3 linked regions of the Cricetulus griseus genome follow. The protein of the gene in region 2 purifies or fractionates together with the protein of the main gene of each other region. This does not show direct contact. Links are inferred from orthologs where the notes say so. Each region holds a gene or a part of one and is shown on either strand. Other genes may lie near its edges. The genes, in order: Gosr1, Stx12 and Nsf.

The links.
Region 1: the proteins of Stx12 (region 2) and Gosr1 purify together in Homo sapiens (affinity purification with mass spectrometry; 3 studies listed by BioGRID and IntAct, counting the BioPlex papers as one, with this or other methods). This does not show direct contact. The link is inferred for Cricetulus griseus from reciprocal best matches to the Homo sapiens genes STX12 and GOSR1.
Region 3: the proteins of Stx12 (region 2) and Nsf purify together in Homo sapiens (co-immunoprecipitation; 4 studies listed by BioGRID and IntAct, with this or other methods). This does not show direct contact. The link is inferred for Cricetulus griseus from reciprocal best matches to the Homo sapiens genes STX12 and NSF.

The regions. Positions count from the first base shown.
Region 1 is NC_048600.1:90,189,298-90,192,948, forward strand, and holds part of Gosr1 (Golgi SNAP receptor complex member 1), read right to left. Parts: intron 2,532-3,651; coding exon 2,440-2,531; intron 1,176-2,439; coding exon 1,101-1,175; intron 1-1,100. UniProt on the Homo sapiens protein: Involved in transport from the ER to the Golgi apparatus as well as in intra-Golgi transport. It belongs to a super-family of proteins called t-SNAREs or soluble NSF (N-ethylmaleimide-sensitive factor) attachment protein receptor.
Region 2 is NC_048595.1:20,401,506-20,405,156, reverse strand, and holds part of Stx12 (syntaxin-12), read right to left. Parts: intron 607-3,651; coding exon 507-606; intron 1-506. UniProt on the Homo sapiens protein: SNARE promoting fusion of transport vesicles with target membranes. Together with SNARE STX6, promotes movement of vesicles from endosomes to the cell membrane, and may therefore function in the endocytic recycling pathway.
Region 3 is NC_048600.1:116,868,917-116,872,567, forward strand, and holds part of Nsf (vesicle-fusing ATPase), read right to left. Parts: intron 3,401-3,651; coding exon 3,266-3,400; intron 2,195-3,265; coding exon 2,081-2,194; intron 1-2,080.

The sequences.
Region 1 (3,651 bases), on a different chromosome or scaffold from region 2:
TAACTGGCCAAGTGGATAGTTCAGAAAGAGCACTTGCCTAGCATGACTTCAATCCTCAACACCAAGTACAAGACTTGGTAACACTATGTGTGTGTACATGTACATGCATTTACACATATGTGCTGAGATACACTCTTACTCTGTTGCCCAGACTGGTCTTGAACTGTTGGGACAAAGCAACCATTCTGACTTTCTTTTCTAAGTAGCTGGGATTGAAGACATGTACCACCACACCCTGCTCTCTATATTTTTTTCATTTTTATGTGTATGGGTGTATGTGTGGCTGGGCCTGTGTTGTCCAGAAGAAGACATTGGATTCCCTGGGACTGCAGTTACAGACAGTTGTGAGCCACTATGTAGATAGATGCTGGGAATTAAGCCCAGGTTCTTTGTAAGAGCAGCTGGTATTCTTAACTACTGAGCTATTGCTCCAGCCTCTTGTGTCTTGATTTTAACAGTTTATATTTAAAGTGGTAGCCTTTACAGGGAAACAAATTCAACAGTACCTTAAGCTTATCAGACATAACCAATTAATGACAGTCAGTAGCAAACTAATCCTAACATTGACTATTATGGATATTCAAGGGCTGACAAGCTGAGCTCAGAGACAACTATTCTGATCCTCAAGTTCTACTACAAAATACAAGGAAAAAAATCATGGTAAAAAATAGATGGCACAAGAGTAGTATGTGGGGACTTGTTTTAAAATGCATGTATATGCCACCAATCATTTCTGCTGAGATCTTGGGAAGCAAATTTTTTTGTTTTGTTTTTTCCATTTGATTTTTGGTCTTAATAACTTTTATAAATCTTCTTCAATAAATAAGTGGTAAGAGACCATTCAAGCATAAATTATCAGCATTATTATTACGGATCCCATTAATAACTTGCAGTAAGGATAACAGCCACATAGCAGTAGGCAGGCAGAGAGACAACAGGCAAAGAACAGAGTAAAATTCTCAAAGGGGATCTTTTAATTATGGCTGATGAGCTGCCATCCATTTCCACTGAACCCACTTGGAGCAGCGATAAATTCTCACCCACAAAGGCCTTACTATAAATAAATGTCTTTACAAGCATGGAAATCAGGTAGTACTCACTTTCGAAGGTGGTCATGTTCTTTCAAAAACAGTTCAGTTCTCCTGTTGTTTACTCCAGACCCGCTTTTATATGACCTAGAACAACATTAGGAAAAGGCAAGAACATTTAGCAGATACTGCACCATCAGGTTAAGGGACTAACCCTAGTGATAGCAGAAGAGACCAGTAAACTATTGGAACATAATGCATTTCATTTCCCTTGAAAAATACTATCACAGACATAAAACACAAATGTTCCTCCAGTTTAGATTTAGGGGTTTTCCGTTTTTCACCGAACCAACCCAATCTTCTTATGAGGGGACCTAACCTTTCCTTTGTGTATTGTCTTCTGCATCATTTTCTCCAACAGAAGCAAAACTTAAGACTAACTAGCACATGGCACACGGGGCAAGAAAGCTACTGAAACCATTTTATACTTCACCGTAGTGTCAGCCACTGGCCAGCCAAAGCCTGAGGAACACTGAAACCCAACTGTTCAATCTCGGCATACTTCAGGATTCCATGTTCATTGCCAAAACAATAAAGTTAGCAAAAATGACATTTACTTCTATCAATATTACCATTTCCCTGCTTTCCATTAGTAATAAGAATCAGGAACACTTTCTTTGTCACTTTTTTTTTCTTCTTCCTCCTCTTCCTCCTCCGCTTCCTCCTCCTTCTCCTCCTCCTCCTTCTTTTTGAGGCAGAGTCTCCATGTAGCCCTAGCTATCCTGGAATTCACTCTATAGAACAGGCTGTCTTTGAACTTATAGAGATGTGCCTGCCTCTGCCTCCTGAGTGCTGAGATTAAGTTAGGCCACCACAACTGGCCTTTAAGAACAATTTTTTAAAAATTCCTGAACTGTACGAATGCCTACAAAAAGGATCATGTGAAGGAACAGAAGAAAAGAGCAAATCTTATGGACGAAGATCACTGTAAAATGCTGAAAGTCCTTAATTTCATATAAGGTTTCGATTTTGTATTAAACCTGGAAACTCCTGCCCACATGCAAATGTTTCAGAATTTCAGGGATGTTGATAGCTATCAGAATAAATAAGTTCCAGGGCAACAGAGAGGAGCAAATGATGGGGAAATAGACAGTTACTGGCCATCATGCCATTCTTAGTGTGAGCAGGAAGGGATCATTCAAGGTGGACTTAAGAGCAAGGTTGGCAAGGGAAGACTGGGAGAGGGCAAAGTAGATTCAGCTAGTACTATAACAAGGCACAAAGGACAATGGAATGGAAATCAAAAACCCCAAAATCTAAATTCTGGTTTTGCTACTCAATTTGCAATTAACCACAGATAGAGCTTAAATCCACACAAACATTTTATACAGTAACATGAAAGGTAACTTACTCAATATCTTTTCGTACTGATCCCATGAGATTTTCCCTTTCCCGTATTGCCATAAAGTTTGCTTTGGTTTTATGGAATTCATGTGTATAATCCTGAAATAAATCGACATCCAGTTTCAACACAAACTATTAATGTTCTTTTATTCTTCTAAAGTAGTAGACTATGTTCATCAGGTTACACATTTCAAAACACTAAGCATTCTACCACGTAGTACCGTATCATGACTTCAAATAGTCTAGGGTAAAAGAGGGGAGAGATTTTTCTACTCAGTGGTGTACTTAAAAAGGCATATGGCTTATTTTTATCACACCCTTGCCCCCATTCCCACCTTCCCCTCAGTGTTGGGATCCAGCCCAGGACTTTACAAATGCAAAACACATGCTCCACCACTGAGCTACACCCTCAGTTTGTTTTCAATTAAGTTTATAGTTTCTGCCCATTTTCCTTTTGTTTTTCTTATTTGTATTACTTCTGTGCATAGTAAACAAATGAGCCATTTTTTTTTTTTGTAGTTTCTGACATCAGATCTTCCTTAGCTCTTTACTACTCAGAAATTATAAATTTCATCTAGGCTCTATTCAGGACTTGATGCTTTTCTTTCCTCTCCTCCTTTCTTATGCTTTTTCTACATTTAAATCTTTGTTGGGGGGGGGAGGAAGAAGAAGAGAGAGGAAGGGAGAGAGATATCTACCAGTAAAGTACTATCTGATCCCAGTTAGGCTGTAAAAAGATGGGTGTTGATAGTGTACCCCTGCAATCTCAGCAGTGAGAAGGCAGAGAAGAAAGGAGCCCTTGGGCTCAATGGCTGGTCATCCTAGCTAAATTGGAAAGATCCAGGTTCTAGTGAGACCCCTCCTCAAAAACCACTATACCACTGAGTAGAAAAATCTCTCCCCTCTTTTACCCTAGACTTCTGGCACGCTTCGCACGTGCACGCTCACGCGCGTACACACCCCCCCACATGCACACAAGCACACAAGCACACACACACACACACACACACACACACACACACACACACACACACACACGCACGCACACAAAACTATCTTTAAAGAATTTTTACAATTTGGGCTGGAGAGATGGCTCAGAGGTTAAGAGCACTGACTGCTCTTCCAGAAGTCCTGAGTTCAATTCCCAGAAACCACATGGTGGCTCACAACCATCAATAATGGGATCTGGTGCCCTCTTATGGTGTATAAGCATACATGC
Region 2 (3,651 bases):
ACTGTTTACATTGGGTTGTCCTATTAGCACATCTACGGGAGACTGCCTTAACTGATTAGTGTAGGAGGACCCAACCCACCGTAGGCAGCATCACTTCCTAGGCAGGAGATCGTGAACTGTGGGAGGGTGGAGAAGCAGAGCTGGGCACACATGTGGAAAAGAACAAGCAAGCACTCATTTCTCTCTCCTTCGACTGCGGATGAGATGTGACCAGTGCCTTCAAGTTCTGCTACCTTGATTTTCCCACAATAGACTGTAACCTGGAATTGTGAACTAAAAAAAAACCAACAAAACAAAACAAACAAAAAACCAAACCTTTTCCTTTAGGTTGCTTTTTGTTGTAGTAGTTTATCACAACAGAACTGAAACTAAAGCACGTGGTAAGGAAATTATAGTTCAAAGAAATCTATCAAGACCAGAGCCCTCCTAGAGCTTTTGTTCCACATCCCACTACTCTATCAGAATAAAGTCCTTTTCTATTAATAAACAAAACAGAAGATACCTACCTGCTCTGATGCAGACAAGGGTAGGGGCAAAGACCCTAATTCCTTTAGCAACTCATTTGTCTCCTTGGCGAGCTGATTTGTGGAGTGCTGTAACTGTTGCCTAAGAGAGAAGACAAGTGTCAGGATGCCATGGCTTCTCGAGAGCTCTCACACTATTACTTCACGCTCGGGGACTCCCAGCGCAAGGAAGGAAGGGAGGGCCATTCAAACAGGCGCTTCAATGCCTGTGCTCACAAACCCTCATTACTGAAGCAGTTCCACTGAGCAGAAAGATGCTCAATGACACCTGCTGAAGGAAGCACAGGCCAGGAATTTCAGCTGTTTGGGAAGAAAAGCATGTCGGCATTCTGATAGAAACACAGGAGTAATTACTACCTACATCCAGTCCTAATGGCTTTAATACACTGAACTCACTTAAACGTCTCACCACTCCCCAGGAGCTCTGCATGGTCAGTTCCTACCATAGTCCACTGACTAGGGTGGTTACATGAAACAGCTTCCTATATACCTAGAAAAAAAACTCCAAAGATCTATTCCTAATCTCTTGTCCAAAAGTGGGTTCTTTCTGGGGCTGGAGAGATGGCTCAGAGATTTAAAGCACTGACTGCTCTTCCAGAGGTCCTGAGTTCAATTCCCAGAAACCACATAGTGGTTCACAACCATCTGTTACGAGATATGGTGCCCTCTTCTGGCCAACAGGCAGACATGCAGGCAGAAGATTGTATACATAATAAATAAATCTTTAAAAAAAAAAAAAGTGAGCCGGGCATTGGTGGTGCACGCTTTTAATCCCAGCACTCGGGAGGCAGAGGCAGGCAGATCTCTGTGAGTTCGAGGCCAGCCTGGTTTCCAGAGCGAGTGCCAGGATAGGCTCCAAAGCTACACAGAGAAACCCTGTCTCAAAAAACCAAAATAAATAAATAAATAAAGTGGATTTTATGCCTGATAGCTTTTCCCTCTGCTGTTTAGAACACTTACCTCTTGTGCCAGATACTGGGCTCAATATCTAACACCAAAAAAAAAAAAAAAAAAAAATCACAATAAAAAAATACACATAAAGAAGCTCGATGCTGGGTACAGTGGCCTTCACCACTAGTCCCAGCTCCTCTGAGGCTGGTATAGGAGCAGCATTTGAATCCAGCAGTTTGCAACATACTAGGATAGAAGGAAGGAAGGAGAGAGAAGCAAATTCAAGAGGGAAGAACATAAAATATAAGTCATGCTATGGAGCCAGGCGGTGGTGGTGCACGTCTTTGATAACCAGCAATTGGGAAACAGAGGCAGGCAGATCTTTGTGAGTTCGAGGCCAGCCTGGTCTACAGAGCAAGTTGCAGGACAGGCTCCAAAATTACAGAGAAACCCTAAGAAAAAAAAAAAGTGATACTTTAGAAATAATAAATAAATAAAAAGTTCTTCCCATCATGGTTTCCTCTAATCTCTGGCCATTTCTACAAAGATTTTAAGGGGTGACAGAGAAGTCATAGGCTATGGTCTGAATTCATGTTGAAATACTAGCCCCCAAGTGATGTTATTAGGAGGTAGTAGAAAGTGATTAGCATGTGTGGGCCTTTTGTGAAAGCATTAATTCCCCTTACGAGGCACCAGAGAACTAACTACTTACCTCTTCCACCAAGAGAGGATACAATAAGAAAGCATCAACTAGCTGGGCCTTGGTGGCGCTCACTTTAATCCCAGCACTCAGGAGGCAGAGGCAGGAGGATCTCTGTGAGTTCAAGGCCAGCCTGGTCTACAGAGTTCCAGGCCAGGCTCCAAAGCCACAGAGAAACCCTGTCTCAAAACCAGTCTCCCCTCCCCCCAAAAGAAAGCATCAGCTGCCTAGCATAAGGACATACTCATTTAATCCCAGCACTAAGGTAACTGAGGCAGATGGATCTGCAGGATAGTAAGACCATTCCAAAAGGAAAACAAAAACCAAATGTTATCTATGAAAAAGAGGGCCCTCATTAGACACTGTATATGCCAGAGCCTTGATCAACCACCCCTCAGCCTTGAGAACTATAAGAAATAAATTTTGCTTGCTAATGAACTATCTAGTCTATGGTCTATTACTGCAGCAGCCTTAATGGCTGGGATACCACATCGTTTTTTTCACTTTAAGTAGACAGCTAGGATTAGAAAACATGAGAGACAGCAGAGGAAGCCAGACCATCCCAGAAACACTAGCATATGCAGACAGGTCATCTCTCCCTGAATTTGCTCCCTGTGACAGCAGTCACTCTCTCACTTCACAGCGTCTAAGAGTGGAAACGAGTAATGTAGCTCAGTTGACTTTAAAGATAGAGAACCTGATGGTGGCACACACCTTTAATCCCAGCACTAGGGAGAGGCAGGCAGATCTCTGTGAGTTTGAGGACAGCCTGAGACCTTGTCTTGGGAAAAAAATAAATAAACATATGTACATATATACACACACACACATATCAAACTTTAAAAAATTACTTTTGTTTATTATCTGTGTGTGCATTTGTGTGTGTGTATGCTTGTGGGCACAGGGGTGCCATGATGCATGTGAAATATGCTGACATTAGAAATAACTTTCCAGAGTTAGATTTTTCCTTCTACTATATAAGTTACAAAAATCAAACTCAGATCCCTGGCTTGATGGCAAGCACTTTTCTTTACTTGCTGAACCATCCTGCTGGCCCCAGAGAATAAAATTTTTACTTTATTATTTTACGTATATGGGTGATTTGCCTGCATGCATGCCTGTGCACTACATGTGAGCAATGCCCACAGAGGCCAGAAATGAGAGTTGGATACCATGAAAATGAAGCTATAGACAGTTGTGAATCACCATCTCAGTGCTGGGAACTGAACCCATGTCTTCACCACTGAACCATCTCTCCAGTGATCAAGAATAGAACTTTACAAGCAAAAATAAAGTCAAGAAAAATGTGACTGTGCTGGAGAGATGGTTCAGAGGTTAAGAGCACTGACTGCTCTTCCAGAGGTCCTGAGTTCAATTCCCAGCAACCACATGATGGCTCACAACCATCCATTATGAGATCTGGTGTCCTCTTCTGGTGTGCAGATATACATGGAAGCAGAATGTTGTATACGTAATAAATAAGATCTTTAAAAAAAACAAAAACAAAAACAAAAAATCAGTTCTCCCACTGGACCA
Region 3 (3,651 bases), on a different chromosome or scaffold from region 2:
CCTCCAACCACTTTGCAAGAAAAGATCCTCTCTTCTGTCCCCAGCAAAATATGGAACAGAAGTTTCAAATGTATCAAAGTTAGGGGGTCAGACTACAAAGAACCAGGAAAAAGTGTGAACAGCTAACAAAAGAACCATTTTCTCTCTTTGGGACTAGAATTACACATGAATCAATTGTCAAAGTTCTTTCTAAAAAATGGAACTGGCTGGAGCTCGCCGTAGTCAGTACATGCAAGTCTTCGCCCATTAACTATATTTAATATGTGTGAGGGACGACTTACTGACTTGCCTGTAGCTATGGAATTAAAAGTCAAGAGAAAGGGAGGAAAAAAGTAATCTAGATAAATGACTTTATTCCCTCAGGTGACATCCAGTCAGAGCAGATCCTCAGCACTGAGCAAGTTTTAACAAAATCGGGTACTGCGAGCAGCAAAAGCATGACTTCTTCCATTCTGCTGAACTACACGCCTCTCCACTCAGGCTCGGCTCCTGAGGCGGATCTAAAGAGAAGTCACTCAGCTGCACGGAATCCATTTGACGTGAAGGGGTTCAAACTCCAGGCCTATGGAGTGTCAGTCGCTGGAGATTAGGCCAAACGCCCCACTCTCACTTTCTACCCCACACACATAAGAGGTATTAACTTGATCACTGAGCTGCAGGCATCAAAGGAGGAGGAAGAGGGGGTGGGGAGAAAAACTTGCATAGTTTCTTCTATGCAATTATTTTAAAAGATTGTCCCGAAACTGAAAAGAGAAGGGTAGAGCTGACTTTCTGACAGATTTATCTTTTTTCAGGGACAGAGCCAATGCACCTGTATGTACGCATTTACCAGGAGTAAGCCTGAGCACCGCGCTCAGTCGACAGTTCTAATTTACTGCCCATAATGCAAAATACATAAATCGACTTAAAAACAGTTGCTGGAAGCTCGGGAAACTTTTGGTTTCTAAAAACCACAAAAATTTAATTTTAAATTAAGTTTATCAGAGAGAATTAAAACAATTCTCTCCATACTTCTTATTTATTAGTCCTAGAGCATCCTTCAGCTGTAAATGTGAAGCGAGGAACCCCCGCTGTTCACACTGGGAAGGACAGGGCTGCCCAGTGACACACAATGCTTAGGATAACTCCAACCTTTTTACTCAAGTCTGGGGATTGATCACTCACGCATTCATTCATTCATTCATTCACGTACCCATTCATTCATTAGAGGGAGATTTATTGAGCACTCTAGTTACATTCGGAGCTGGCCCTGGGGCCATGCACAGTGGGTGGCAGCCCGGGTGTGACACACAGACCTTAGTCTGCACACATGTGTGATGTACATGAGTGTGCACATGTACACGCATATGGAGGTAAGGAGTTCCAGAAGAAGGGAAGGAGTTGCCTTAGATACAAGGAAGTTCCAAAGCAGTCTCATCTCCCTGTGGGGATGACCATAGTGGCAGGTTTGGGCTGAGTTGTCTATGGGAATCTGGGTGCTTTAACCCTACAGTAGTCTGCATGAAACTTAGGGAGCTGGGCATGGTGGTGCACGCCTTTAATCCCAGACTAGGGAGGCAGAGGCAGGAGGATCTCTGAGTTTGAGGCCAGCCCATCTACACAGAAAGCTCCAGGACAGCCAGGACTACACAGTTTCAAAAAAACAAGAAAACAAAACAAAACAAAACAACAACAAAAAAAGAAAAGAAAAGAAAAGAAAAGACATATCTAGGAGTTCAGTCAGGGGACACACACAGAAGCCATGTCTAACCTGTACAGGTCACTGCGTCTGCCCTTACACGTCTCCAGGTCTGTGCAGGCATTGACTGGCCCTGACGTAGGGCACCACAGTAGAGAGTGTGTGACCTGGGCTAATTCACTGACAACCTGTGGACGTGGCACTCATATTTTCTAGATTGCTCTTTTGAAGTCTCTTCTAATCTTTAGACTTAATAACTCTCCACATCAAGACTAAAAGTCACACTGTGCTCTTCTCATCTGTTTCTGAAGATTAAGGGTGGCACCAGTGTCCCTGGGCCTTGGGAGAGGAAGGAAGGCCCTGCTGGTGGTTCCTGTGACTCACACAGAGGAGTTGCCTTACCTGCAGGGACATCTCAATCAACATTAGTAACTTCTTGATTCCTATCCAGACCTTCTTCCCTTTGACTTGCTGAGCAATTGTGGTGCGTTCCTTATCTTTGAAGTTGCCCAGAAGCTACAAAAGCAATAAACAACAATAAAGACACTTTTACAGTTCACATACCAACACATTCACCTTTAAGTGAAGAGTGGGAGGAGCTACCTGACTGGGTTGAACTGACTTCCCTAGTCATTTGTGACCACACAGGGCAAGGTCTTATTCCAGAGCCCAGACTCTCCTCAAACTCATGGAAATTCTTCTGCCTTAGCTTCCCTGTTGCTGAGATTACCTTGTCTGGAAGAGACGTGTCTTAAGCTTTTTTTTTTCTAGAGACCTCCAGTAAACTTAGACACATATTTGCTGGGGGAAAACAGCTCCAATCCATAATAAATATAAGTTAAATGTGTCAAAATAGACTAACTTTTTCTCTTACCCATCCCAGCTATAAAAGGCTGCTCAAACAAGTGACCCAGAAATACTTGTCATATGGACTTCTGCTCTGCTGGGAGCACACAGCCACTCCTAGGTACTCTGGGGAGCACAGCAACTCTTACATGCTGGGACCTTAAGAAGCCTCCCTGACTCTCCTCCACCGAACAACTTACATCATATTTTCCAGCAGATCTCATCTAGTCACTTGTGGACATTAATATTAATCAACACTTACTGAAAGACTCAGTTTTGAAATTAAAGGCTTCCAAGACTAAGGAGACATTTCTATGCAATAAAGTTGGGAAGTCTGGGTAGCTGTTTTGTAGTTCCAAAGCTTTAATCATTGTTCTGGTTTATTAAATGCAAAGAAAATGTGTTGTCAGTCATGATGAAGAAACAGTGCTGACTCCCCACACTGCACCGGTCCTGTCCCTGTCCCCGCTGTGTCATCTGCAAGCACTGAATTCTGGGAAGAGAGTGACTGACCCCTGCAGTCTGTGCTGCCCACACCCAGGAATGAGAAGTTTATCTGCTTTCCTTTGTGTCCTGATCTTCCTCTAGCTTCTGAAAAGCCTTGAAGGTAACACCCCAGAGTCCCGCATTCTAGTTTGATGTGCCACTAAATGCCAGTTGCTATGGCTGAGGACCCTTCGGCATTATCTCAGGCCTCAACTCCTTTCTGATAAACAGATTCTAACAGCGACTCATCTTTACCTCCAAAGCTTCCAGCAGCTGCTCTCCTGTGGCAATGTTGGGCACGTGGATGGTGGTGCTGAAGGCATTCAGCATCTCCATTTCCTGAAGGACATCTTTGCGGCTGGTGGTCCCGATGATGAGAAGCTTGCGGCCCTGGTTACCGAGAGAAAGATGTGTTTCAGTGCACCAAAAAAGACTAATGAGGAGACTGGAGGTAGCTTGAATTAAATGAGCAGAATCCACTTATTTGTGTATGTAAATGAGTATGCAAAACACACATAAAACCCCAGGATTTTCCAAATAAAACTAAACAAGGCATAGATGCCATAACTCAGAAGCAGCAACAATGAAGCTGGTCCTTCCTACTGATGCCAATAGACAAGGGACCAGTAAATCAAGAAATA